Danio rerio: one gene and its partners. Each later gene encodes a partner of the first gene's protein in a complex. Links are inferred from orthologs where the notes say so. Each region holds a gene or a part of one and is shown in the gene's direction. Other genes may lie near its edges. The genes, in order: ing3, morf4l1, anp32e, ruvbl1 and mbtd1.

Region 1 (5,967 bases):
GTGCTGCCCATTACTTTACAAACCACAGGAGAGGGCAAATTCTTCAGCAAGGTAATGCTCCTTCTCTTACTTCAGCCTCTACATTAAAGTTTCTGAAAGCAAAAAAGGTCAAGGTGCTGCAGGTTTGGCCAGCCCAGTCTCCAGACATGAACATTATTGAGCATGAGATGAATGAGGAGGCATTGAAGACGAATACAAAGGAAGTCCTGCAAGAATTCTTTCTTTGCCATTCCAGATGACGTTATTAATAAGTGATTTGAGTCATTGCAGAGATTTATATATGCAGTCATCCAAGCTTATGGGAGTCATACACAATATTAATTATTTTCCACTGCTACATGATTTTATATTCTATACTGTACATTATTTCTGTTAAGTGACAAGACTTTTGTTTAAGCAAAGTCAGACCTTATTGTCTTCATTAAATAATTCAAAATCAAAGCATGATCATATTTTATTTTGGTAAAATAAGTGTTATCTAGAGGCCTTTCCCTTTTATGTAAGCCACTTCTGATACCAAATGATCAACTAGAAGTCAAGTTATTATTTGTTGTTCCTAAAACTTGGACCGCTGACAAGACTTTTGTCAGGTAGTATATAGAGTACACCAAACCAATACAATCAGCCTTGTTTTATTCGGAGCATCCTTAATGCTGACTGATATTATTTGATATTCCAGTGTGCAAATATAGCACCAGGAAACTCAGATGAGAAGAAATATAAAAAGACAACCAGAAATAGCTTTGAAACGGCCACAAACGCAGACGGAACAGTCATCAGAGGAGCCACGTTTCCTGTTTATGATCTCCAGCATATTTTTATTTGATCTAAATTGAGCGCAGAGGTGCAATGTCACTTTGCAGAACAGTTCATGTCTACAGCTGTGCGGTAATTCTGTCTTGGAAATAAAGGGTTTTAATGGGATGTTTTATAAAAGCCTCTTACACCACGACTGAACCAAATCATAACTGTCTACAATAAACGTGGGGTCAGGCTGAGGTTTCTTCCTCTCCAGAGACAGCTGGGCAGTTACATTGTCTTCCACTGTTGTGCAAAAGCCTCTTACACACAGACAGAAGCACTAAGTTGCCAGAACTGTCATTAAATATTGCAGTCAGTGCTGCCCTCCAAAGGCCAAAGCTGCATTAAACCTGCAGTCTTCAAACTAGTCTTCTATGTCTCTAATAACCATGAGGATACAAAATTAAGAGACACAAAACATTTGAATTATTTCTATAAGTTATACAATTTAGTAACTTCTTTAACACTGCTACTGATCTACAACAGGGGTGTCCAAACTCAATCCTGGAGGGCCGATGTCCTGCAAAGTTTAGTTCCAACCCCAATCAGACACACCTTAGCTAGGTAATCAAGCTCTTACTAGGCTTTCTAGAAACATCCATGCAGGTGTGTTGAGGCAAGTTGGAGCTAAATCCTGCAGGACACCGGCCCTCCAGTACCGAGTTTGGACATACCTGATTTACAAATTAAACTACAGATTTTCTAATGATAAAACATATATTTCAAAAGTATGTAAAATGTACTTGAAACAATTATTAGTGTAAAATTGACTTTTTTGATTGTATTACTGCAATGTTTTATACTCTGCATGCTTTATTTATCATTTACATCTTTCTCTTCATGTTATACATAATCATTCTTTTGTAAATGAAAATGTATTCAAAAAGAATGCTACTATAAAATAATCTACAAGTTTTTGTCTTAAAATCAGTGAAATATGTTTAAGTAATGTTTATGTGGCCAATAAATGATATAGCCTTTATCTCTGTGGAAATTTACTTTAATTTTACATGTTAGTTACTTTATTTGCTTTATATGCTTTTTTATTTTCTTAAAGATTGAACGTTTCTGTTATGTCAGTTTTATTTAAAAAATGAATTTATCTGTTAAACAATTGTGTCTAAACAATTATATTTACGTGATATAATATCTAATGTAAACAAGTATGTTTAGAACAGAACGAAAATGGCTATTTATTTATTTATTTATTTATTTATCTATTTATTTATTTATATATATATACCTACCTCTTATTGGGAGATGAGCAAATCGTACTAAAATGTACAAAGTACTAAAAGTTACAAAAGGCAGATTGCGTTGGACATCCCACAATGCGCTTGACGTAGTTTCAACTGAAAGAACTACAAGTTCCATAAAAACGATTTTCATAAAGAGTGCAGCTTCCGCGCAACTCCACCATCGTCCAATCAGATCCCACGCCCTTCACGTAAGCCCCTCCCCCGCCAGCTTGTGTTTTTTCCTCCCCTTCAGTTCTCCGCTGCCCGCGACGCCATATTGCCGAAAAACACCCTTTCTCTGAAACCTCCGAAAAACCATCTCCGCCAGAATGTTGTACCTTGAGGACTACCTCGAAAGTGAGTAAAACAGCTCTTTTATCTATATATGTTCGTATTATCGTAAGTAGGTGTTTTAGAGGGTGGTTTAGGGCGTGTTTTGCTGTCACATCCGTTAGCTTGTAACGCGGTTGTTCTTCTTCCCGGCAGTGATCGAGCAGCTACCCATGGATCTCCGCGACAGGTTTACGGAAATGAGAGAGATGGACCTGCAAGTGCAGAGTACGGTTTCAGTTTAAACTCACTTTTGTGCCTTAGAACACCACAGCTGACTTAAACTAACGTAAAGAGCCTTTCATATCAGTGGAGATCTGTTTGGTGAATTTGCAAGCATAATAAAAGCATGCATGTGTTGTGATGTTGCACACTGATGTTAAGTGCAATTAGAGCATGTGGAAGTTGAGTAACACCAGTGTCACCTAAACCAGGGAAAACTTAGGATACATTATTGCATTGAAATGCATTTTTTTGGTCACCCCAAGTAATTTAGAGTCTGACAGTGCCCCCATTGACAAGATTTTGATTGTCTTCATCACACGGGAACACAGTTTACTTATAGCAAATGCATGTATTTGTTAACAGATTAAGGTTTTGCATCAACCATAAACATGCATAGGTACTCATTCTAGTTAGAAATGTATATATTTCTAATTAAATCATTTTTACAAAACAGTTATCACAAAGACATTTCTTCTTGGAAATGTTATAGACAGTTTTCATTACATGTAATTTCCCGGTTACATTTCCCACCAAAATCATAAGGAAAGACTAATATTATTAAATCAATGTTTATATGTGTATATTCAAGTCTAGTTTTGTAGTTATAATTAAGATAAACCTAATTTACATCAGTTAAATATTTTTATATTATATAGTTTTAAATAATTTCATTTTATTTTGTGGTGATTGGGATCTGGATATTTTTCCACAGCTTTAGCAGTGATTCATGAATCACCCTTTGTAGGGGTTGCACCTACAGCCTTTTAATGATCTACTGAGATCTTTAACCAACCATAGACTTCCACAGTCGCCATCTGTGTGGTTGTGAGCCAAGTCGGGCTCTTGACTTCACTTTTGATCATGTTCCTTTGTTCAGATGCGATGGATCAGCTTGAGCAGCGGGTCAATGAGTTTTTTACTAATGCCAAGAAGAACAAGCCTGAATGGAGGGAAGAACAGATGGAAATCATCAAAAAGGTAAAGAACAGATGATGTGCACTTCAGTCGAACTGAGTGTTCTGCAGGTGATAATAATGTAGTATGAGATCTTTTAATGTTGATAATGCTTTTCCTTATTTGAACCATCAGTGTTTTTGGGTTGGACACTTTTTATTGACTCTTTTCAAAATTTAAATTAAACAAAAGGGGGGGAAAAGCAATATATGACATTTTAAAATGAATGGATATTAAATATTACAACCACACTTTACAATACAGTTCCAGTATAGTTAATTTATTTATTACCATTAACTAAGGATGAACAATATTTGCATATTATGAATTAATCATAGTCCTACGTTTAGTAATGTGTTATTAAAATCCATGCTTTTGCTTGTTAACATTAGTTAATCAACTGAGTTACCAAGTACTAGCAATAAACAATTGTATTTTATGTTAAAAAAGATGAATAAATACTGTAATAAATATATTGCTTATTATTTGTTAATGTTAGTAAGTAATTGCATTAGCTAATGTTTTCCAATGCAATCTTATTGTGAAGTGTTACCCATATTGTTTACTCCCGGAATCAGCTGCAAAATATATTGAACAATAAAAATTATATTGCAATTTAATTTAATAAAACATCTAAACTACATTCTAAGTGAAGCACAACATTTGCTTAACTGATATAATAAAGTTTGTATGTATAAGATGAGATCTTTACGCTGAAACTGACAGTGCATATTTTTTGTTACTAGCAAGATATGATATATTATTTTTTTGTTTTTATTTCATTTGTTATTCAATATTTTCCTTATTTTCATTATTATTTTTTAAATTGCATAATGATGAAATAATGATGAAATCATGATGAAACAACTGCTGGTTAAGTCATAACAATGATTGATAAAAAATTAATAATGGATAGTTTTGCATTAGAAGATAATATGCTTTCCTAATGATCTCTTTCTGTTTACCAGGACTACTATAAAGCTTTAGAAGATGCGGATGAAAAGGTCCAATTAGCCAATCAAATTTATGACCTGGTGAGTAATTTACTGTAACTAGCAACACTAGCCTTTGTGTCAGTACTGTATGGTCCCAGTAGGTGGCAGCACATCACTAATAGTAAAAAGCCAATGGATTTCTGGGAAGCTTTTTTGTTTGCTATTTAAATGCATACTAATGCTTTTTCGTGAGATTTAATAGACGTTTTTAAATACATTTTTCCTAATGAGAAGTGACATTTGAACTTGTGTGTGGGTTTGTGTAATCCGTTGTGTGTTGATCTTGTGCCTCTTATGTAGGTTGATAGACATTTACGGAAGTTGGATCAGGAGTTGGCAAAGTTTAAAATGGAGTTGGAAGCAGATAACGCTGGCATCACAGAGATCCTGGAAAGACGTGAGTGACGCCTCTCAATCACCTTTTTTACAGATAACTGGCTAATTTCAAAAGATAAAAAAGGTAGGAGTTGGCAAGTTTTTAAAATCAGTGTAAATCATTTAAAGAAATATGATATCTACATGTTTTTAATATGAACAAAAATAACTGATTGCTTGTCTTCAGGAAAAGTATACACATATCTTAAAATGTCTGGACATGCTTTAGTAAACTAATCATCTTGTAGCTTTGTTCTCATTTTTAAGCTGTTCGTGAAGTCAGTTTTATCTTTTCTAGGGTCTTTGGAGATGGACAGCCCTTCTCAACCTGTCAACAACCACCACGTACATTCACACACCACAGTGGAGAGTAAGTTTGTTCCAAGAAAATACCTTCTGTCTAATTTTTGGTTCCAGTACTCTGACCTGTTTTCCTTGTCGTTTGACAGAGAGGAAATACAGCACGCCAGCCCACCACACTACTGAACACGTACCTGAAAAGAAGTTTAAGTCAGAGGCCCTGCTCTCCACGCTCACGTCAGACGCCACTAAAGAAAACACACCAGGTAAAACACACATGCTCTCTTCTCCTGGGTCAGCCTGTAAAAACAGACACAACACAAAAATAAACACAGGTGAACCCAAGAAATTCTTCATAGACATTTATTTTGCAGTGTTCTGTGTATGGTAAGAATAAAAAAAAAACTATGGAATAAAAAGCTTTCAGAATGACATGATCCTTTAGAAATAATTTAAGGAATAATTTGCTTTTTGATAAACAATTTGTGGTGTTATTATCAATGATCAAAATTAAACTTTTATAAATATTAAAAGTCTTTTAAAGTTTATAAATAAAATTTACACTGCAAAAAATGCTTTTCTCAGATTTTCTTTATTAAGTGAGTTCCTTATAGCAAGAAAAATAATCTGCCAGTGGGGTAAGAAAAATAATCTATGTCAAAAGGAAGAACAAGATTGTTTTGCTTACCCCATTGGCAGATTATTTTGCTTGTTTTAAGTAAAAATTAACTTAATATTGGCATATAATT
Region 2 (6,117 bases), on another chromosome or scaffold:
GTTGTCCATACCTATGTGTTCCCCGTGACTGTTTGTTTGGCTCATACTAACAGCTGCTTAAATCCTTTTATATATTGTCTTACGAGAAGAGCTTTGAGGAAGAAACTGAAAAAATGTTTGTCCATTTTTGCCCCCTGGTTATTAAAGAGCTCTCTACAGAAGTCCAGCAGGCATGCATAAATGGCACAACTGCGTGTAAATATCACACGATGATGTATTGTTTTTATTTAAAGTATTAAATTATGTACGCATATGTCGTCGGGTGCTATTTTGAGACCAAACTGAATCTTTTTAAATGCATGCATGTGTGAAAATGACTATTAAAACAAAATGTGTTCTCTTTGCATATTTCACTATTTATTGTACAATAAGGTTGACCTCTAAATAAATATTGATATAATAAATAATTCTGACTATAATTTCATATAATTACTATGCGCAATGGGATAAATCCTGCATCAAATGGTATACAAAGAATATAATTGTCACAAGGAAAAAAAACGTTTAAATTTCCTCTTGAGGTTTATATTGTCAAGAAACTGCTGAACACTCAATAGCAATGTATCAAGCTTCAATTAAGAATAGTGGCTGATTAGTTAAAAATTCTGTCTTATATGTGGGATGGATGGTACGCCACTCCACCTGTAATATTGGATGTCTGGGGCCACCCTTGGAGTGGCACACTGAAATCAATGATTGAACAAACGAACAAATGAAGGAAACCTTGATGTGTTGCACTTTTGTTTCTGGTTAATGTTTTCAGGTTTGATTGTAATTCTCTTTCCATTTAATAGAGAGAAGATTGTTTTTTAACAAATTTCTAAGCATAATAGTTTAATAACTTATTTCTAATAACTGATTTATTTTATCTTTGCCATGGTGACAAATAATATTTAACTAGATAATTTTCAAGAGACTTCTATACAGCTTAGCTCATTTAAAGGCTTAACTAGGTTTACTATACATGTTAGGGTAATTAGGCAAGTTGTTGTATATCGATGGTTTGTTCTGTACACAGTCTGAAAAATTTTGCTTAAAGGAGCTAATATAGGTTTGACCCTAAAATGATACATAATAAATTTTAAACTGCTTTTATTCTAGCCGAAATAAAACAAATAAGACTTTCTCCAGAAGAAAAAATATAATCAGACATACTGTGCTCTGTTAAACATAATTTAGAAATATTATAAAAAGATAATATCTTTTTATAATAAAAAGATATTACACCGGAGGGGCCGGTGTAATAATTCTGACTTAAAAGTGTGTGTGTGTGTGTGTGTGTGTGTGTGTGTGTGTGTGTGTGTGTGTGTGTGTGTGTGTGTGTGTGTGTGTGTGTGTGTGTGTGTGTGTGTGTGTGTGTAGTGCTGAGCATAATTAAGTACACACATATGTGTATCCAATTGTCAGTGAATATAGGCAATGTATTGTGGTGCATTTAAACGAAACAAATTTATTAAACAAATTTATTTAATGAAATAATATTTTAGTCACCAAACATAAATTTTTTTAAAGATAATACAATTAAATTCAAGCAAAATATGGCCCCAAAAAAACTTACAACCTATAAAAAAAATATTATTTATTTATTTTTCTCTTTTCTTAAATTTGCATTTAATATTTTTTTCTATAACATAAATTTGGCTGTACTTATTTTTGGACTGTTATCGTAAGTTATTTTGTTAGATAGGCTCCAGATTTGCTTCAGTACTGACTAATATAGTATAGATTCCTATTAAAAATATGAATTTAAAAGATAGATTTGTGAGGGGTGTACTTATTTATGCTGAGAACTGTGTGTATGGTATGTATGTATGTATGTATGTATGTATATATATGTATATATATATATATATATATATATATATATATATATATATATATGTATATATATATATATATATATATATATATATATATATATATATATATATATATATATATATATATATATATAAACAAAAGTCGTGTACACCTTGCATAACCTCAATTGTTTTGTTTTTGGTGCAGCTACCCCTTTAAATTTTAACAAGAAATAAAAACATAAATTATAGAAGAGGCGTGGCGTAACGTTGAAATATATCTGCATAAATGCACTTATTTACATGTATTGCCGTGAGTAGAGCACAACTTCTGTCATTCGTCAACAGGGGCTGCTGGATAAACGCTGTTTATTATGAGAGTCACCTGACAAGGGCGCCAGTAAAGTGCGTCATAGGAACGCAGCGCGGCGCCTTCACCCTGCGTGAATTAAATCGGAGCTGGCAATGCCTGGATTTGATTTTCCAGCTATTTTTATTGTTTAATCTGTGAATGGCGCCTAAACAGGACCCTAAACCTAAATTTCAAGAAGGTAAGATGCGCTTTGTTTCATCCACGAGAGTCACCCGTCGATCGGGGATCCTCTCATTCTGCCGTGCAAAGGAAGCGGGCGCTGCCGCTGCACAATGGCGCGCGCGCACGGCGAGCTGTCTGTTACAAAACACTTTTTAGCTGAGAGTTGCCGCCTTTAACTTGTGCAGAGTTGTTCATCACCTGTCAAGCGAGTGCATGATCGCACGTTGGTGCTTTTCGTTGCATCTGACAGCCTCTGCAGACGCACACAGCGGCGTGTTCCTGAAACAAAACATTAGCTGTTGTCTATGATGTAGCCGTTAGCATACAGCAGGCCTTGTTTACAGGAAGCGGCCATTGCAGTATTGAAGTCCTGGCGGGAACAGTCATTTACTTATTTGAAGCGTAAAAACAACGACGTTAGCTCGGAGCTGTTCTAAAACTGAAGTCGATAATGAGCAAAGAAAGGCTATATTATTGCATTAAAATGACCATTAGCAATTTTTGATAACTGAATGAATCGTTCTATAGAATCGAATCTTTAGAACAGTGTTCTATTCTGAATCTGATTCCTGAACTGGGACTCTAATATGAGTTAATATTGTTGGTGATTGTAAGTAAACGCATATGTCAAGTAAACAGTCAGATTTGATGTATTGTTTGACTATATAAGCAGGTTTTAAATGTGCGTATTTCTCGTTTGTTTAAGTATTGTGTATTGAAAATGCTAATTATATTTTGGTTATAATGAGCTTAATTATGATTCAAACAAACAATATGGTAAATATACTGCAGACTGTTATAAATCTACTATACATTTAAAACATTTCTTTGTTGTGGCATTTTCTGAAAGTACAATATTCTGTGCCCACACACATATTTGAATATGTAACACTTCTATTTTATTTATTAGCCCATTAGTGGATGTCATTGTATATTAATATTTCTGATGTTTTTTCAGGTGAACGAGTGCTGTGCTTTCATGGGCCATTGCTATACGAAGCTAAGGTACCTGAATCATTCATGCCATTATGCATGCTTCAAAAGGCTTTTTGATATTTGTTTTCCTGAAAGCAGTACCTGAATGGCATTACATTTATAGTGTAAATGTAGTCATGTGTTTGTAGTGGTTTTGTTTATCATATTAATGCTTTGGTATTGTTTTCTGTGTCAAGTAAAGGGATTTGTTTTTGTATAGTTAGCCCTCTACCCCATGGTGTTGCCATATGGCAACATAATACCGTTAATTTTTGCCAGTGCCACTGTTCTTCTTCTTCTGCCAGTGTTTCTTTAAGACCAACGTTCTGTTTGTTTTTTTTGTTTTTTTGTGGTTATTGGAAAGAGAAGACCTTAGTGTAGCCAATGATGTGCTTCGGTTAAGTCACATGACGTGCAGTGTTTTTCTGTGGCTTGGTTTCTGTTAGACTGGCGTTTATTTTGAATAGTTGCTGAAAGCAAATGAAAAAGTCAATAAAATCAAAGCATCAACCCATGCCAGATCCACAAACAAAATCTGAGACATCACATCCAATAAGTTATGATGACATATTCACAACTCAAAAAGATTTTGATCAAATTAGCATTTTGTAAGTCGATCAAATGTATGTGCTAGCAAATGGAAATGCTGTACAATAGAGGAATGTGCGATATTGCGATAGATTAGCTAGCTAGGTCAGCTCAGCTGTGGTCTTTAAAGTTGTAACAATAACAACATGAATGCTAGTAATATAACGTTGATTAGTTGTATGTTAATGGCATTTGCTTTATGGTTAAATCTAATTTTAATGGCAGTGCATTTGATTAGATATAAATACAAGGAACAGTGTATTAGTGAGGACCACAATGTTCTATAGTTAGTGAAAGAAGAAAAGGACACAACTGGCTCTTCCCACAGATGAACGTGAGGATGAGATGGTGACAATGAGAATAATGCAGATTGGACATTTGATAAGAGCAGTGATGAAGTCAGTTTAAGTTAGCTAGCTCAGAGGTGTATATAAGACAGATGTAGTAAAGTATATAGTTTAATATATAAACATAGTTTGCTGGTAGCAAAAGTTTATTTTGATGCATCTGAATATTTTAGACTTATTTATTTGTTATAATATTTACTAGAGGATATATTTATACTTTCTGTATGTTGTCTACATGATAATACAATATTATGTTAAAAAGAATGGACTAAATAAAAAGTTTTGGAATATCAGTTGAAGTCAGAATTATTAGCCCCCCTGTTTATTTTTTTCCCCAATTTCTGTTTAATGGAGTATGTTTTTTTTAACACACTTCTTAACATAATAGTTTTAATAACTCATTTCTAATAACTGATTTATTTTATCTTTGCCATGATGACAGTAAATAATATTTGACTAGATATTTTTCAAGACACTTCTATACAGCTTAAAGTGGCATTTAAAGGCTTAACTAGGTTAATTAGGTTAACTAGACAGGTTAGGGTAATTAGGCAAGTTATTGTATAATAATGGTCTGTAGACTATTGAAAAAATATAGCTTAAAGGAGCTAATAATTTTGACCTTAAAACTGTTTTAAAAAAATCTAAAACTGCTTTTATTCTAGCCGAAATAAAACAAGTAAGACTTTCTCCAGAAGAAAAAATAGTATCAGACATACTGTGAAAATTTCCTTGCTCTGTTTAACAAAATTTGGGAAATATTTTAAAAATAAAGAAAAAATAAAAGGGGGTTTAATAATTCTAAATTCAACCGTATAAGGTGTCATTTATAAGTTCTGTGTTAAAGCTTTTAACTCTGCAACACCAATTAAATAATTTCAAACAACAAAATTATAATTCATAAGGAAAGTTCTACATTTTAAATAAAGTTAGATCCACTAATGGATGTTGTTGTCATATCGCAGCATATCATAAAGTACCTCAACTTCTCATTTCCCCAGATCTTTTTTGCAGCACTTCAAGTTAAGCCAATCCAAGAAAAGAAAAACAGTCAAATACTTTTTTTTTTTATAGAGCTATCATGATGCGTGCAGTTGAGGGTTAACTTTGTGTAATTTTAGGTTTTTCCTTTTACTAAATGATTTTTATTTTATTCCTATTTAGATTTTTATTAAAGAGCTATACCTTTGGGCAATATTGCCATCATGATATTTTCTTTTTGTTTGTGAAAGATAGTTTAAATGTTGTTTCTCCAAAGATGTCAGAAAGATGATTCATTAATCATGTATTTTTTTATGTTTTACAGTGTGTAAAAATCAATATCAAGGACAAACAAGTGAAATACTTTATTCATTACAGTGGATGGAATAAGAAGTAAGTCTGTGTATTTAAAATGCTCACTTAATTGCATTGATTTGTTGTTTACTACACAGGTTATAGACCATTTTGAGTGATGTGAACAAAAACAATGGTTCCAACGTATTTCCTGTTTTACATTTTTAATTTCTTTAGCTGCCGAGAATCCAAAAACAACCACATATGATAGCTGTTTTAATATTAAGTTATGATTGAGTTGCCACTTGTTACAGTTAGGAAAAGGTTTGATAAGCAGAAAATGTTCATGGGCCGATTACATGACCACATTGAAATGGTCTATACCAGTTGAAATTGTAAATGTAGTCTACAAGTGACTTATTTTTAATGATTTATTTTAAGAAAGTGTGATCAATGTGTTTCTAGCTGGGACGAATGGGTTCCTGAAAGCCGTGTGCTCAAATATGTGGACAGTAACCTGCAGAAACAGAAAGAGCTTCAGAAGGCAAATCAGTGAGTGAAAGAAGTTTAATTAAATGCCACTGGAAGTGCTTTATGC
Region 3 (5,384 bases), on another chromosome or scaffold:
GAGTAATCATGCTTTAAAGGGATAGCTCACCCAAAAATGTGACTTTCCACATTGTTTGCTTGCACTGTATTGATTATAAACACATGCATTTCTTCTGTAAAACACCAAAGAAGATATTCTGAGGAATGTTGGTGTAAAGCAGCCATTGACATCCTTAGTAGAAACCCAAATACTTGTTTTGTTTTTTAGTTTTTTCTTCAATAGATCTGTGTTCAACAGAAGAAATAAAGACTCAAACAGCTTTAGATGAAGTGGAGAATGAGTAAATGATAACAGAATTTTCATTTCTTGGTTGAACTATCACTTTAAAGGTCCCATGAAATAAAAGAACGTTTTTTTAGATGTTAGTATTGTTAGTTTTTAGGATATCTATAAGCTATCGTGTTTCAAAACGCAAATTGTCACGGTTTTGAAGATATAAAACTAATATAAACATGTAAGGCTTGTAGTTTGTCACTTCCACTATTAGGCTGCATTTACACTGCAGATCGTGATGGTCAATTCCGATTTTGTGACTGTATCGGATTTTTTTTTTGATGACCTGCTTGCATCATGTTTTAAAAGTGACTCGTATCCAATCGTCTGCATTTACACAGCAAAGGCGTGTAACGGAGGCCAGCCTTATTAGAGCAGCCGACTCCCATGCGGAAGGTCGCCGGTTCGATCATAGCTCGGAGCGGGTTGGGTGGTGTAGGACTGGCGGTGTTACATTGGTGCCGTGACCCAGATGGGAGTGAGGTTTAGGGGGGTGAGTGTAACAGAGGCCAGCTAGTAAGAGCTGTGCAGGTAAACCTCACTCCTCTGACCTCTTAAGGTGCTCTAGCGACAGACGCTAGAGGCCATGGTCTTTAGCCTCCTTTTTAGAGCAACCGACTCCCATGCGGAAGGTCGCCGGTTCAATATCAGCTCGGAGCAGGTTAGGTTGTGTAGAACTGGTGGGGTTACAGGCGTAATGACCAGGAGAGAAAAAAAAGCGGGCGCTGACTAACAGCTGATAATTAAAGAGTGCTCTTTTCTCTATTCCTGTATGTAATCTGTTCACAGCTTTTGATGAGCTGTTTTACTATAGTTTATAACTATATCAATATAGTTTATATTGATATGTAGGCTTTTTTAAACCTTTAGGCATCTTAATGTGATGTCCATGGCGGGATTTATGCACGTGATGTACCTATGCACTAGTTTTATATTAGTTTATAATGGATATGTAGCAGACATTGTGCTCTCTCGCTCTCGTTAACATGCTTAAATACCCGTGCTATATGACAATTTAAAAGCTGTTTAAGTCCTCGTGTATGAGATTTAAAGTTTGGGATTATACTAAAGTCTGTTCTGAAATGAAAGCATCAGACATGACATCATTCGCTACGGTTTTTAATGACACGTGACTCGCATTGACAGGTGAAAATCCGATCCACCTGCTCACACTGCAGACACTAGAACAGATCCGATATATATCTGATAAATTTCCACATATGAACAAGGCCTGAATCTGTTTTGAGTAAATCAGAATCAAAGTGATTTGTTCCTGCTAACACGAACATGGGCCAAATCCGATCTGTGCTACATGGGAGAAAAAAATCGGAATTGATTCACTTGAACAGTGCCGTGTAAATGCGGCCTAAGTTTTTCCATCAAATCTTAACCAATCAAATGCTCTCTCGTATCTGACATGCCCCGCCTCCTTTAGGATGCTTCACATTTGATGCACTTGAGCTCAACCACTCACTGCATGAGTGGTGATGAAACAAAATGCGATTGGCTATTTTTAAAAAAGGGGAGGGACTACATTATGTCCCACCCTCTCTTTCTTTTTCGGTTGAGATTACGTCAAACATCAAATATAACGCACATTTAAAATCACTTCACAGACTTTATCAAACATTGTTAATTTCGTAAATGGTTGGAATTTGATTCAGGCAATGTTTGACATTGTTCTATAGTGAGCTTATTAAATGCCGTGAAAGTGAAACTGAATTACTGAATGTTCATATTTAAAGCGACTCTGTCTTTTCCAGTTGGAGTTGAGCGATAATAACATCTCGGGGACACTGGAGACTCTTGCTGAGAAATGCGCCAATCTGACCTACCTTAATTTGAGTGGCAACAAGATCAAAGAGCTCAGCACACTGGAGGCCCTGGTAAATACACACTATAATAATACATTTAAACCATATAGACTTATTGTTGAATAAATCCTATATTTTGGAGGTGTTAAGTAATCAGTGAGGCATGACATACTCTTCAATCCTCAGCAAAACCTAAAGAACCTGAAGAGCTTGGACCTGTTTAACTGCGAGATCACCACGTTGGAGGACTACAGGGAAAGCATCTTCGAGCTGCTGCCTCAGGTCACATATCTGGACGGCTTCGACGCTGAAGACAACGAAGCTCCAGACTCGGAGGCTGACGATGATGGTAAGAAACACAAATCATGGTGAAGTTTAATCAATTGGTCGAAGCTTTTTAAGGCGCTACATTGAAGCTCTTGTTCATCGTGACATTTAAACATAAATAAGTTACATTCTTTTCATTTATTTTTAGCAATAAGCCAAGTCTTTACGTATAAATGGATTTTATAAGAATGATATTGTTTTCTTTGTGTATAGTTTTGCTAAATGGTTTTGTGTAGTTATATGCGTGTTATATATGTTACTACCTCTGAGTTTGCAATGAATATACCCTCTGATGCTGACATGGTATTAAACACATTTATAGAAACAAAAACAAACGTCTTGCAGGTTAAGGTTAGTTGCCTTAAAAATCAATTATATCATATATACAGTTTAAAAAAAAGAATAATTAACTAGAGCTGTGGAGGAAAATTGTTTAAAAAATCAATTCAAATATTTTCATAGTTGCATTGCTCTCTCTTGAATGTATTCTGAGCTTAGTTTTTAACAGCAGATGGCGCTGTATGATTACAAACAGCCACACTATTCTTGAATCCAATTCCTTACCCATACCAGTTGATCCTCCTTCGTACAGTTCTTGCCATGGCATAATATATGATGTGTGTGTGTATATATAATAATATGTATATATAAATTATGCCGGCAGGTAGCTCTCTGCAACTCTCACATGGTTGCCTTCTGAAGCTAAGCAGGGCTGTGCCCGCTTATTACCTGGATGGGAGACCAGACTAGAAAGCTAGGTTGCTGCCGGAAGTGGTGTTTTAAGGCCAACAGGGGGCGCTCAACCTGCAGTCTGTGTGGGTCCTAATGCCCCAGTATAGTGAAGGGGACTCTATACGAGCTCTGAGTCTTTCAATAGAGACGATAAACTGTTTTCCTGACTCTCTTTGGTCATAAAAAAATTCCAGGATGTCCTTCGAAAAAGACTAGGACTTATCCTTGGCATCCTGGCCAAAATTGGCCACTGTCCATCATGTCCTCCAGACCATTGGCTTCATCACTCTGTCTCCTCTCCACCAATAAGCTGGTGTGCGGTCCCCTCCTCTCCCCCTCCCCCCTTTGTGTAAAGTGCTTAGTGTCTAAAAAAGTGCTATATAAGTGTTGAATTATTATTAAAACATAAATAAATAAATACAAGATGAACCTTAATTATCATTAATAAATTTAGGAAAGCTGTAAGTGAATTATAAGAAAGTTCATCGTGAAGTGTTTGCATTAATATCATGACTTACAGGTGACTTGCATGACTAAGCTGATGTGTTCAGCGCTCTTTCCTTTGTATAATTAGCACTTGTGTGTGTTGCCTCCTCTTGTTGAATCGCTGAATGCCTCAATTGTAAGTTGATTTGGACCAAAGTGTCTGCTAAATGTAAACGTCTTCCACTTGTATTTAAGCGTATGGTTAAACTAGTCTGAGCGACATCTGCTGTTAAAAACTCACATAATAAGCAAAAAAATAAAAGCCACACATATGGTGCAGTAGAAAAGTATTGAGCGTTATGTAATTTTTCCACCACTTAATGCAGACGATGATGAGGATGGTGACGAAGGAGCAGGGCAGCTGGGAGAGTACGAGGAAGAAGAGGAGGAGGATGAGGAAGGTTCAGAGGGTGGAGAAGTTGGGCTGTCCTATCTAATGAAAGAGGACATCCAGGTGATGTAGCTGCTGCTTTCTTTTTTTTTTCCTTTTGTTAAACTATGCATCTTATTAACACTCCATTCCTTTGATAAAAGGACGAGGAAGATGATGATGATTACGTAGAAGAGGAAGAGGAGGAAGGCGGCGAGGGTAAGCATCAGTTATGCTATCTAGTAGACGTACACTACCTGAAAAAAGTCTTGTAAGAGCAACAAATAATAACTTGACTTCTAGTTGATCATTTGGAAAAGTGGCTGTAGGTGGATTTTTCTGATGAATCATCTGTTGAGCTGCATCCCAATCATCATCAATACTGCAAAAGAACTGTTGGAACCCGCATGGACCCAAGATTCTCACAGAAATCAGTCAAGTTTGGTGAAGCAAAAGTCATGGTTTGGGATTGCATTCAGTATGGGGGCGTGCGAGAGATCAGCAGAGTGGATGACAACATCAACAGCCTGACGTATCAAGACAATTGTGCTGCCCATTACAGTACAAACCACAGGAGAGGGCCAATTCTTCAGCAGGATAGCGCTCCTTCTTATGCTTCAGCCTCCACATCAAAGTTCCTGAAAGCAAAGAAGGTCAAGATGCTTCAGGATTAGCCAACCCAGTCACCAGAGATGAACATTATTGAGCATGTCTGGAGTAAGATGGAGGCATTGAAGATGAATCCAAAGAATCTTGATGAGCTCTGGGAGTCCTGCAGGAACGCTTTCTTTGCCCTTCCAGATGACTTTATTAATCAGTGATTTGAGTCATTGCAGAGATGTATGGATGCAGTCCTCCAAGCTCATGGGAGTCGTGCACAATATTCATTCTGTTTCCAATGCAGCATGACTTTATATTATATACTTAAAAATCAAGGCATGATCCTATTTTATTGTGGTAAAATAAGTGTAATCTCTAGGCGTTTGCCTTTTAATTTAAGCCACTTCTGATACCAAATGATCAACTATTAGTCAAGTTATTATTTGTTCTTTCTAAAACTTGGAAAGGGGACAAGACTTTTGTCAGGCAGTGTATGCCAGAATTCAGTAAAACTATATCATGAAAACGGACATATCATACTTCAAGATACTGTGAATAATGATTTATTACTTAAAGTTGCTGTTTAAGAATATTTTGATTGTATTTGCAGTTTTCATTACATTAGCACATGCTTAAAGACCTTGTTTATCTTTTTAGTAACATTTACACATTAACCTAGCTGAAATTATCAGTCTGAAACTGCTGAAAATTTAATTGAAAATTCTGACTATTTCTAAGCCTCTTGTACTTTTAAAACTGTCCAATAAGGCTCCAATAGCTAACATTAATTAAACCAAACT
Region 4 (6,118 bases), on another chromosome or scaffold:
GGTAAGGTGTGTTGGGTGAACATTGTAACTACAGATTTCACTCATTCATTTTCTTTTCATCTTAGTCCTGCCAATTTATCCAGCATATGTTTTACGCAGCAGATGGCCTTCCAGCAACCCATCATTGGGAAACATTTACATATTTATAGTGACATTTATTTCAGCTTTAGGTACATGGAGGTGTTTTAGAGTACAAGTTAACACAATAAGTGTATTACATTTAATATTAATATTTCGATTAAATTGTAGTACCTGTTAGTTTGGGAAGAGGGTGAGATTTTTTTCCCTGACAATGTCTGTTCTGTCTTTAGAGTGATTAACATGGCATCTTCAAACGCTGCACACACACCACCTATTGATCAAAAGTGGTACTGCTGCACAGATTATAAAGTGCCCTGACAGGTTACTATTCTGTTGGTTAGTTAATTAAAAACAAGTCAGTACGTAAGTCAGTAACTTCTAGTGCTTTGTGTACGTAGAAGGCGTGAAGTCACACGTCAAAGTGAATTTTATTAGTGTAATTGTTGCTTTACTGAAAAAAATACACCCACTTACCCCCGATGATAGTGCGTATAAGGGAGGCATGTCCTGGACAGTCCACCAATGTGAACTGCAGACTGTCGTATTGTTTTTCCCCGCAGGACTCCCTCAGGTGCTCCGGTAACGGCACCGTGAACGCACTGAAGCCGAGATCCAGCGTTATGCCCCGCTCTTTGGACTGCGGGTTCTTGTCGAAGGCTGCAGTGGATGCGGTGCTGCTCAGCGCCCGGGCGAGAGATGTTTTCCCGCTGTCCACATGGCCGAGGACACCGACGTTAAAGTTCAGTGTTTTGGGAAAATCTGTCATCTCTGGATCAACACCGCGGTTGGGTAACAGAGAGTGAATGCGCAGACTTTGAACTGCTGACAGCGACGCTGCTGGTCAAAACAACCAGCTTGATGTCGTCAGACAACCAACTTACTGTAATTTGATGAATTTTGATAATATCAACTTATTAACTTTGATATCAGAAATAAAAGTGTAAACTAAATTCCTCGGCTCTTACTTCATTCAGCAAAGTTTTCAGAAATTTGACAGTTGCTCTTCCTGCGCTGCCAAAAAACAATCCCTGAGCTGGCAGCATCTCACATCACTGGTTCCGCCTCACGGCATTTTGTTTGAGAAAAGAAACATTCCTCATGAACAAAGTTGTTTATAAATTAGTTTAAAAGTAAAAATAATCTACACCTTGGAAATATTATGTTATCTACACTTCTGAGAGAAACTATTTATGGGAACCCACAGCGTAGATCCTTGTTCCAACACAACATTTCAAATGTAACACACACGAAGAATAGGGGCGGGTTTACAGTGATCAGACCGACAGTTGCAGTGTCCAATGGTCATGCAGAGTTTCCACAAGTTGACCAATCGTTACAAAGAACCACTGAAAAACGTTTTGCGGACGGTACTTCCTCAAATCGCCTTGGTTACCCTCATGGAAACGCGGGTCTCTTGTGTTTGATTTTAACGGCCTCTCGTGAGACAGGCGTGTGGTTGTTTTATTCACGCACAGCGCGTTCGATTAATTATTAAGAAACATGAAGATCGAAGAAGTAAAAAGCACAACCAAGACGCAGCGCATCGCTTCTCATAGCCATGTGAAGGGCCTCGGTCTGGATGAGGCTGGTAATGCTAAACAGTCCGCGTCCGGGCTAGTGGGACAAGAAAGCGCCAGAGAGGTAACACTAGCTAAAGACCAATTTCCGTGTTTATTTCATTAATTAAGAAAAGCAAACATTTTAATTTGATAACCTCGAATGATTTGTATGTAGCTGGCTATATGTGAAGAATAAATACAAAACTTCTAATTCATTTGCTTGTGTCAAGAGCTGGATACAATTGATTGTAAATACGATAAATTCATATACTTTCATAGGCTATATATGAAGAGTTCAGATGCAAAAACCTCTAAGTACCGTCTGAAACTTCCATTAAAGCTGAGCATTTTTATCTCAGCATTCTATATTGATTATTGATGAGTTATTTCTCTTTAAAGATCATTAAATTAACATACTTTTTAATTATTCTTTAATTTGTAATTACTGAACCTACTAACAGGAGCCTGATAAAAATGTTTATTTTAGAAGAACATTTCAGACGGCTTTTAGAAGTTTTTGCATCTGAACTCTTCATATATATATATATATATATATATATATGGAATATTTTAATCACACTTTTTAAACAAAATAATGTTTTCATGTATGTGACATTTTCTGGCCTGTAGTTTAGCCCTGGGCTTTAAAAAAAAAAACTGATCCTGTTACATAAACATCTAGAAAATTCTTGCATATTTGTTAGGCTTGTGGCATCATCACTGAGCTGATTCGTTCCAAAAAGATGGCTGGCAGAGCCATTTTGCTAGCCGGACCGCCTGGAACAGGCAAGGTAAGGGTAGACTGGTTTTATTTACACTGCACTGTATAATTAAAATGGACATTAAAATAGTTTCAGAGCTGTTGTTTAAGATAGTATGTATAGTCTGCCCATTTGATTTCTATCCACCACAGACTGCTCTAGCACTGGCCATGGCACAGGAGTTGGGAAATAAAGTGCCATTCTGTCCTATGGTGGGCAGCGAAGTTTATTCATCAGAAATCAAGAAGACCGAAGTGCTGATGGAGAACTTCAGAAGAGCCATAGGTGAGCTCTCACACCACCATAACCTGTCAAAAAAGGATAGAGGAAAAGTTTTTTTATATATTCGCACATTCAGACTTTCTGCTTAATAATATAATTTCATAAAAGTATTCTTTGCAAATTTTAAATAGTGAAATCATATTAGCAGTCAATGACTATCAAAGTACAGCGTTGTTCAATCAATTACATAGTGCTAATATTGTTTTGAAGTCATCCTTGCATGCTATTTTAGACGCAATATTCAACTTGCCGTGGTAAACAAATATGGGCCATTAATGAAACAAATGTGCAAATCTCAAACATACTTTATCTAAATCAAAAAAGGCTGTTGGCCGTTATCTTGCGTAATGAGTGATTCCTACCATCATTAAATCAATTCAATCAAAACTGCTGATTCAATTAAAAATGAAGCAAGTGACTGTCTTTAATATAAAATCGAGTCTTTGGCTCATTCGATTTGTTTAAAAATAGATTAGTTCTGGAACAATGCATACCATCGTTGCTCTGAAATGTGTAAAATGTTTTGGTATGACCGTTCAGAACTGATTATGTTGACAATTGAAAATAACACAGTATTTTTGTTTTGAAATGTAAACTTACTGTTTTTTGAGCTGTTGATATTTTTGCTTTTTTACTTGAAGTAAAGGGTTTATAGTCCTAGGCTTAACCGCAGTGTTTAGACTGAATATGTATTTGTTTTTATAATGAGCAACATGCATTAATGTCAGCTAGCGTGTCATTAAACAGCAGGACTAAGTGAATATCATTTTATTTTAGATGATATAACACACCCCTACAATAAAGAAGCCATGTAAAATCTGTATTTTCCTTTATGTATTCCTATAGATTTGAGCATGACCTTGTACTGTTCTTCTAGTTGGTTCACAACCCTCAACTCTGAAACCCTCAAGTATGACTCTGAAACAATGTAGACTATGTGATCAAATGAGATATGCATGAATGCACACATTATTACTACGCTGACAGAGATATATGGCATGAACCATTGAAAATACACTTCTGGCTTTTTATTACGTAATGAAATATGTGGTTTTTGTAAAAGTGTATTGGCCAGTAAAACCGAAAAACTATTAAAAGTGTTTATATCAATCTAGTATCTAAAGTTCTGTTTTGTTTTTTGATCGAACAGGTCTGCGTATCAAGGAGACTAAAGAAGTGTATGAAGGAGAGGTCACTGAACTGACTCCTTGTGAGACTGAGAACCCAATGGGAGGCTATGGTAAAACTATCAGTCATGTCATTATTGGTTTGAAGACAGCTAAGGGGACCAAACAGTTGAAGGTAAGGAAGTGCAGGCATGTTGTTATGTTTTTTTTCTGCATGCTTATATTTCGTAGATAAGCTGGATGGAAGCTGATTATGTGGTTGTTTGAAGTCATATCTCATCTCTCCTGCAGCTGGATCCCAGCATCTATGAAAGTCTGCAGAAGGAGAGAGTGGAGGTCGGTGATGTTATCTACATCGAGGCTAACAGTGGGGCAGTCAAGGTATGGACAGATATGCTTCGCTATTCTCTCTCCTGCGGTTCTATAGTTGGCATGTTGAAGTAATCTTTTGTCAGTACAGGTGGGCAGGTAGTCTGGCAGTGGAATAAAGGACGAGATTGTCTCTCGTATTTTTAAAAGAACGTAATACTTTTATTAAGCAAGAATGAATTAAGTGAATTCAAAGAAAAAGAGACTATAATAATGCTACAAAAGATTATATTTCAAATAAATGGAGTTTAAGTTCATTAAAAAAAATCCTAAAAAAAAAAAAAAAAAGATTAGAAGAAAAAATATTAAGCTATAAAATAAATATTTCTTGAGTGCCAAATCAGCATATAAGAATTAATTCTGAAAGTTCATGTGACACTGCGGTAATGATGCTGGAAATTCTCGCCATTACATGAGTAACATATTTTTGAAGGAAAATAAGTTTAAATAAATGCAATTTTAAAATTAGAAACTTTGTAAATACACTGTTCAAATTTGATCCCAGTCAGGGGTGTCTTTTTAGTGACCAATAATTGAACAGTAAAGTCAATATAAATTAGTTTGTTTTGTGTTGGTTTAGACCTGTCTTGGGAAAAAAATATTCTTCTGAAAATCACCAGTAGTTAATGGTAAGTCTTAATACCTGAATTCATGAACCATTTATTAAAATATGTTCAGTATGGCCACTTCAATTAGAAACTACATGAATGCTTTTGTGAATGGACAATTTTAGTTTAGTTATTAGTTACAAAAATAGATTCAGATTTCAAAATCTTCCTGGTAGTTCAAATCAAATCAGGTAGTACTAAAAGCTAACTGTAAATGCAACCCCTTGTTTGTTAACCTATTGTATAATTTTAATATAACATTTGTGTGGTAATTGGGAAAATGTCATTTTTGCTTGTGTGATGTTACTGCATCATAACTATTATATCCTACTGAAGTCATAAAAACAAAATAATAATAATAAAAAATTATATATTTTTTGTTTCCTCAATTAAATGCATTTCAATAGGCTCATAATATAGTAATAATATTAATTGTATTAATTATAATTATTAATCTCACAGCACTAAGCCTGTCACAATATCCATTTTTCTTGTCGTACGATATATTGCACCAAAATACATTGCGATTAGACAATATCATTGTAATTTCAAGACCATTTTATGCCATATACAGGGTTCATACGCTCCTGCAAAACCTGAAAGTCATGGAATTTTGACAAGACATTTACCAGTCCTGGAAAAATAAAAAACCCAAAATGATTTGGACAAATCACGAAAATTAGTTGAACAAATATCTGTGTACTTGAATATTTGAGTTGATATTGGGTAAATTTCAAATACAATCGCGATGTTTATCCTTTCACATGACATTTTCTGTGTGGGGCAAAAAGCAACTTGCAGTTTCAGCTACTTTCTCTAACTACAGAGGTAAGATAATGTGGGTGCTAAAGGCTATTTTGTTCTAATTCAACAAGTCTTGTCAAGACACAAGCCAACATTTCTAATAATTTTCACACAAGATAATTTCTAAAAACTATTTTACAGGTATAAAATTAACAAACTACATAGATCAAATATCAAGGTCAAATATTTTGCTGTAATAAATTTGGACATACATTTTTTCTGATTTACCACATGTACTTAGACATTGCTTGAAACATTAGCTCTTTAATATTTACCTGAAAGTTTTGGAAAAAGTCCTGGATTTTTAGCATTAAAAATGTGTGTGAACCCTGCATATATATATATATATATATATATATATATATATATATATATATATATATATATATATATATATATATATATATATATATATAATGCCAGAATGACAATATAATAGCATCACAATAGAAATCTGTAAGAGTCCAGCAGTGGAGTTTGGTGAAGGTGACGCCCAGGTCAGGTCTCTGACACCTACACTAGAGTAA
Region 5 (6,002 bases), on another chromosome or scaffold:
AGAAGGAGCAGGGTCAAGCTGAAGAGTTTGGACATGTTTGTGAAGGGGTTCCCACGATTTAATGAATATAGTGTTAGGTCGGTGAAGAGGTTACCTAATTTTCTTCAACTTCATAAAATAAAGAACATTTCTTATCCAACAAGTGCGAGAAGGGGGGTAAGGGCTCGTCCAATTCAGAAGAATTAATCGCCTAGCCAGAAGGGTTAAGATGCTATAAAGTCTACCAAATGAGAGGGCCGGGTGGGAGAACCCCAATAAACAAATAATTGGACAAGGTGGAATATCAACAATAATAGCAGACAACAAGGGGAAAATTTGCAGCCAAAAGGAAAATTTAGCTCTATTTTATAAGAACATACAGTGATAAATAGAATAATAATGGGGTCCTTATGTGTTCAGAAAATTGCAGACTAAACCTTTTTTGGGAGTGATTGTTATGCATTATAAAATTTCATAAAATGTATTTGGGCTTGCTAAGTTTAAACATATGTAATATATCCTAATTCACTGCTTCACTGTGTATTACTTTATTTAAATCCTTTACATAGTAACAGCAATTTCAATGTTAGAAAAGAAATACATATGAGGGCCATGATATACAGTTGAAGTCAGAATTATTAGCCCCCTTTTGATTTTTTTTCTTTTTTAAATATTTTCCAAATGATGTTTAACAGAGCAAGGAAATTTTCACACTATGTCTGATAATATTTTTTCTTCTGGAAAAAGTCTTATTTTCCATTTTTGGGACAAAATTATAAGCCCCTTTAAGCTAATTTTTTTTCTCAATAGTGTACAGAACAAACCATCATTATACAGTAACTTGCCTAATTACCGTAACCTGCCTAGTTCACCTTATTAACCTAGTTAAGCCTTTAAATGTCACTTAGAAGTGTCCTGAAAAACATCAAGCAAAATATTATTTACTGTCATTATGGCAAAGATAAAATAAAATGAGTTAATAAAACTATCATGCTTAGAAAAATCCACTTATAAAAATGTGACTGGGCTTGTCAAGCTTGTCGCCCTCAAAAAAATCATACAAAACAAGTATAAAATCATAAGAATTCAATGATGGAACGCATCCTTGATCGCACTCAGCTTCTCCTCCATCAGATGATGTCACTTTCGATGTCATAGCCTTAAAGGAATTTTATGTTGATGCAGATGTGACTGGACTGACAGAAACATGGGGACAATTGTACATTTCTTTGATTCATAATATTTGTAGTATGTATTTGTAGAATTTATAATTTCATGTTTTTTTTAATCAATTGATGTGAATGATCACAGCTTAAACTTTTAAATAACAGTTTTTAGCATAACAAAACTGTTAAAGCTGTAGGTTAAATTGAGCTGAGTACAAGGACAATGACAGGGTTTGTACATTTGTAAAGTGTTTTTAATAAAGAAAAATAATCTGACAAGAATGACATTCATTTACAGAACAACTCACAGAAATCAACCATCAGTCCATTTTAGACATTTGTGGGATGAAATACTTTTATCCACTGTATTTATGTTTATATTTATATTTCAGAGACAGATAATGTACGTTTCTGGTAGAAGAAAGCAATACCATGAATTTTACATCCTACAGGAATCTTAGCATTTCTGTAACAAATATCTGTTTACATTTATCGTCGCTACCATTGTTACAACCTGTTAAATTATATTGCCTTTAAGCTATGACCGTAAACATTCTATTTTAATGTTAGGGTCAATAAATCTGCTATTCCCACCACTAAATCCGATTTTATTTGATCTGTAATCATTCTCCCTCACTCAAACATTTCCTGTGACCAAATATGGGGTAAATGTGCCGAACACGTGAACGGTGATTGGCTAAAACATATGTCAATCATTGTAGATCCCTGCGCACGCGCACTCTCGAGCCATGACAATTGTTGATAATCAACTGGAGTTATTTTTTGCTATAGAGTAAAATAATTTCAAGCCAGGCCCTTTCCCTCCGGGGGGCTGTCGGATCATACCACAACAAACGTAAGATACCGACTTGCATGAAGGGCTAATGGAAAACCCAAGGGATATGGTAAGAAAGAGTTTATTTGAGCCCGCTTCCTTGATTTAGCTCAGTTAGCGGCTTAGCAGTTAGCCGTCCTCTTTGTTTTGGTTGTCAGAAACAGATCCTGCTCGTCACACAAACTACAGCGTTTACCTCATTCGAATCACTCGTAATTCTTTCTATGCCATATAACATTTCATTCAAATAAGCTGTCTTATTAAATGGTGCTAATACAGTTGGTAATGTATATGTTTTGTGCTGCTGCAATAGACCCGCAGGCCAATGAATGTGGAAATGTTTGTGTTTGTTTCCCAACACACAGTTTTTACGAGGCTCGCATATGCGTTAAAACGTTTTCACGAGCTGTTATGTACGAGCAGGCATCTTACTAGGGCTTAAGATAAGCGTATGTGCCTGTTTGTGTTGTGAGGGCTTGTAATATGACCTAAAATCATTCACTTGTAGTTAATAGGGATAATAACAGCATTAATTTGTGGTAAAATTGAATGTTAGGAGATGAGAATTGAAATGGTACTCTTTCAGGGGAAGAAAAGGTCCCAAAATGTTCATTCTGAAATCAGGTCACAGTGTATTGGAGTCCTTCTACAGTCTAGTGTTGAAGTATTGATGAATATAAATATGTAATTTCTCAAAATGCAGCAAATTTAAATTATATATATATATATATATATATATATATATATATGCGCCTTTTATATTCTGGCTTGAGATAATTGTGTAGAATCTTTAGTGCTTTGTACATGATATTTGCTTCTTGTGACCCTTGGAAGCCTTTAATTTTAATAATGTGATTTGAGCCGCCTCCTAATTCCCTCTTTTAAAGATTGTGGTTATTACTAGTTACAATATTAATCATGGTGTATCATGTCAAAGGTGGTCATTTATTAAAGTATTATGGTTGTGCAAGAGAGCTGTAATCCTTTTGTCTTTCTTTGCCCTTACTTTAATTTAACATTACTCCTTCCTTCTCTCTCTCTCTTTTTAATATTCTCCATTTTTTTTGTCTCACCTCGTCACATGTAGGCTGAGCACACTCCCCGCTCAGAGCGGAAGAGGAGAGATTCGTTCGGGATGTTTGACGGGTATGACAGCTGCAGTGAAGACAGCAGTAGCAGCTCCAGCTCGGAGGACAGTGAAGATGAAGTTCCCAGCATCCCTGCCAGTTTGCCTATCATCAAAAACAATGGCCAGGTGTACACCTATCCTGACGGGAAAGCAGGAATGGGTTAGTCATGTGGATACAAAAGTCAAAAAACATACCTAAATATTATTTAAATTATGGCTGGGCGATATGACAATCCTATATCATGATAAAAGTCATCACATATTCTTAAAGATATATGGCAAGATATATACATCTTTTTTCTAAATTCAATTAATTAATAGTTTATCTACATTTAGGAATGCACGATATATCGGTGGCCATATTGTTATAGGGCGTTAAATGCTATTTTTAATGTTATTATTATCGATCCAATATCAAAATTAGGCATATATCTTTAAGCTGATAGATTACGTAATTGTACAGAACTGCCTGCCTCGAGAATGCGTGGGTCAAAACTGTCCAGTGCACTATAATGAAGCTTTCCTCACATTTTTTATTGACAGCAAAAATGATCATAAAAGCGTCTGACAAGAAGCGTCTATATGTTCAAAAGAATCTAAAACGCCAAATAGGATGAATTTATGCCGATTTTTCTAAAGTAAAACATACTGTCTATCTGTATTATCTTTTTGCTTGTACTGTTGCTCTGAACTGTCAAAACACCTCACAAAATGCTTTTTTGGACATTGCATAGTTCTACATATGTACATTACTAAACCACGGTTTATTCAAGAACATTTGCGCTGTTTTCAGTTCTGTGTTCTTTCATTTTCGTTTTACTATTTATTTAACTTGTTTGTTAATTAAATCTTGTTTTGTTATTTAACCTATTATTTTTATGCAACAGTCAAGTTGCATGTTAATTTGCTATGCAAAGAAAAGGAAATCATTTATTTTTGGCATGCTAATTTATGTGAAATCATAAATATAGGTCTATATAATCACCTACAATTTTGAAATTATTGCTTTTATTGCTTTAAGTAGGCTATTCAAATATCAGTTCAAACTTTTATTAAGTTTTTAAAAACAAAATCAGCTGTTCACTGTATAAAAATATCAAATTTTGAAATATTTATATTTATCGGCTTTAATATATCGGTTATCAGCCTCCAAATCTCAACAGTTATGGATATCGGCCAAAAATATTATCGGTGCATCCCTAATAAACATTCACTAAATAGAAAGGAAATGTCTTTTTTCTTTACATTTTAAGGGATATACTCTGTTAAAATGTAATTCATTCTTATTTATATGTGATCATATCTTTAATTTTTTTCAGAACTTCAGGGCAAATTTTTTAGGAATGAAGTAATATAAAATGAAAATTAATGAAAAATAAGATGAATGCAGGCCTAACATAAAATATTGCAAAATGTAGACGTTGCACTTTCAATATTGCAACTTTTTCATGATGCTTTTATTCATGTTTATGTCTGCTTCCACATAATGCAGTGTAAAATTGCGGTCAAATGAATTATAAGTATTACTGTAGTGCCACCGTGAAATAAAAGATAGAGAATAATATGAAACGATAAACGTTTGATTTAGTCCATATATTGTCATATTGCACATCCCTAATTTTAAACCTGACACAAGCAATGTTATGAAAAGAAACGGTACAGTATTGTTTCTAATGAGAAATTGTATTTGGTGCCCTGTTTACTTGTTTACTGGTTTGTTGTTGAGAATAAATATGTTCAGTGGTGTAAATATGCTTTTTTTTTCCTCCTCCCTCTCATGCAGCAACCTGTGAGATGTGTGGTATGGTTGGTGTACGAGATGCTTTCTATTCTAAAACGAAGAGATTCTGCAGCGTGTCCTGTTCCAGAAGCTATTCCTCCAATTCTAAAAAGGCCAGTATACTGGCAAGACTTCAGGTAACATGGGTGTTAACTTTGAGACAAATTGCAGTTTCCAGCTAGTTGTAGTATGTGTGTTGTGTTAGGTTTTCATAAAGACACCTCTGACTTATTTCGACTTGTTTTTGGGAGCACTCATATGATTAATATCAGGGCTGCACAATTTTAGAAAAAATTGACATTGCAATATTCAGTTTTTAAATGATATGCATTGCGATATGAAATATATTTTACAAGATGGATTGACTCACTTTTTGTGAAGAATTTCAGAATGTTTGGGATAATTTTATGGTAGTGCATACATTATTAAAATTACATATAAACTAGATTTTTAGGGGGTAAACTTACAGATGAGAGAGAAAAAAATGTTTCATATTTGTCTGGTAAACGCTGATTTATACTTATACCATAACCATAAGTTTGTGTGTTTCTGTGTGGAGTTTGCATGTTCTCCCTGTGTTGGTTTGCTCCGGGTGCTCCGGCTTCCCCCACAGTCCAAAGACATGCGCTATAGGCGAATTGAATAGACTAAATTGGCCATAGTGTACGTGTGTAAATGAGAGTGTATGGAAGTTTTTCTGTACTGGGTTGCAGCTGGAAGGGCATCTGCTGTGTAAAACATATGCTGGATACTGATGAATAAAGGGACTAAACCGGAGGAAAATGAATGAATTAAATGTTTATTGTCTTTATTTGAAATAAATTAAGATTTATTTGGTTAGAAACTTATCAAAATCTACATAAATTATTTGTAAAACTTAAAAATGTCTTTACTATTGATCAATGATTGATACTACGATCAATGCTGTTATTTTACATAAAAATATATCATGGTTTCTACAAAAAAAAAATATAACTGTTTAAATACAAGTACTATTTTTCATGGCTTACCAGTGAGAGGACAAGAATGTGAATGGCAGTGTGTGATGTTTTACAGATTTTACACTATTACATTTGCTCAATAGATTATCAGATATGTGTAGATATTATTGAA

Evidence for each region.
Region 2: ing3 (region 1) and morf4l1 share a complex: the UniProt entries of both Homo sapiens proteins name them as parts of the nuA4 histone acetyltransferase complex. The link is inferred for Danio rerio from reciprocal best matches to the Homo sapiens genes ING3 and MORF4L1.
Region 3: ing3 (region 1) and anp32e share a complex: the UniProt entries of both Homo sapiens proteins name them as parts of the SWR1-like complex. The link is inferred for Danio rerio from reciprocal best matches to the Homo sapiens genes ING3 and ANP32E.
Region 4: ing3 (region 1) and ruvbl1 share a complex: the UniProt entries of both Homo sapiens proteins name them as parts of the SWR1-like complex. The link is inferred for Danio rerio from reciprocal best matches to the Homo sapiens genes ING3 and RUVBL1.
Region 5: ing3 (region 1) and mbtd1 share a complex: the UniProt entries of both Homo sapiens proteins name them as parts of the nuA4 histone acetyltransferase complex. The link is inferred for Danio rerio from reciprocal best matches to the Homo sapiens genes ING3 and MBTD1.

Annotation. Positions count from the first base shown.
Region 1 is NC_133179.1:11,169,054-11,175,020, forward strand, and holds the start of ing3 (inhibitor of growth protein 3), read left to right. Parts: upstream 1-2,234; 5' UTR 2,235-2,368; coding exon 2,369-2,396; intron 2,397-2,525; coding exon 2,526-2,597; intron 2,598-3,471; coding exon 3,472-3,572; intron 3,573-4,516; coding exon 4,517-4,582; intron 4,583-4,843; coding exon 4,844-4,940; intron 4,941-5,216; coding exon 5,217-5,288; intron 5,289-5,367; coding exon 5,368-5,484; intron 5,485-5,967. UniProt on the Homo sapiens protein: Component of the NuA4 histone acetyltransferase (HAT) complex which is involved in transcriptional activation of select genes principally by acetylation of nucleosomal histones H4 and H2A.
Region 2 is NC_133193.1:21,420,061-21,426,177, forward strand, and holds the start of morf4l1 (mortality factor 4-like protein 1), read left to right. Parts: upstream 1-2,127; 5' UTR 2,128-2,310; coding exon 2,311-2,350; intron 2,351-2,423; exon of another isoform or gene 2,424-2,944; intron 2,945-3,292; coding exon 3,293-3,339; intron 3,340-5,550; coding exon 5,551-5,618; intron 5,619-5,984; coding exon 5,985-6,071; intron 6,072-6,117. Other genes in the region: rxfp3.3a3 (relaxin-3 receptor 1), read left to right, coding at 1-180. UniProt on the Homo sapiens protein: Component of the NuA4 histone acetyltransferase (HAT) complex which is involved in transcriptional activation of select genes principally by acetylation of nucleosomal histones H4 and H2A.
Region 3 is NC_133194.1:45,170,956-45,176,339, forward strand, and holds part of anp32e (acidic leucine-rich nuclear phosphoprotein 32 family member E), read left to right. Parts: intron 1-2,018; coding exon 2,019-2,141; intron 2,142-2,255; coding exon 2,256-2,418; intron 2,419-3,940; coding exon 3,941-4,068; intron 4,069-4,148; coding exon 4,149-4,203; intron 4,204-5,384. UniProt on the Homo sapiens protein: Histone chaperone that specifically mediates the genome-wide removal of histone H2A.Z/H2AZ1 from the nucleosome: removes H2A.Z/H2AZ1 from its normal sites of deposition, especially from enhancer and insulator regions.
Region 4 is NC_133181.1:43,388,074-43,394,191, forward strand, and holds the start of ruvbl1 (ruvB-like 1), read left to right. Parts: upstream 1-1,434; 5' UTR 1,435-1,581; coding exon 1,582-1,722; intron 1,723-2,344; coding exon 2,345-2,431; intron 2,432-2,553; coding exon 2,554-2,686; intron 2,687-3,833; coding exon 3,834-3,985; intron 3,986-4,101; coding exon 4,102-4,191; intron 4,192-6,118. Other genes in the region: eefsec (selenocysteine-specific elongation factor), read right to left, coding at 556-847. UniProt on the Homo sapiens protein: Possesses single-stranded DNA-stimulated ATPase and ATP-dependent DNA helicase (3' to 5') activity; hexamerization is thought to be critical for ATP hydrolysis and adjacent subunits in the ring-like structure contribute to the ATPase activity.
Region 5 is NC_133187.1:35,464,921-35,470,922, reverse strand, and holds the start of mbtd1 (MBT domain-containing protein 1), read left to right. Parts: upstream 1-1,883; 5' UTR 1,884-2,029; coding exon 2,030-2,050; intron 2,051-3,067; coding exon 3,068-3,269; intron 3,270-4,892; coding exon 4,893-5,026; intron 5,027-6,002. UniProt on the Homo sapiens protein: Chromatin reader component of the NuA4 histone acetyltransferase complex, a multiprotein complex involved in transcriptional activation of select genes principally by acetylation of nucleosomal histones H4 and H2A.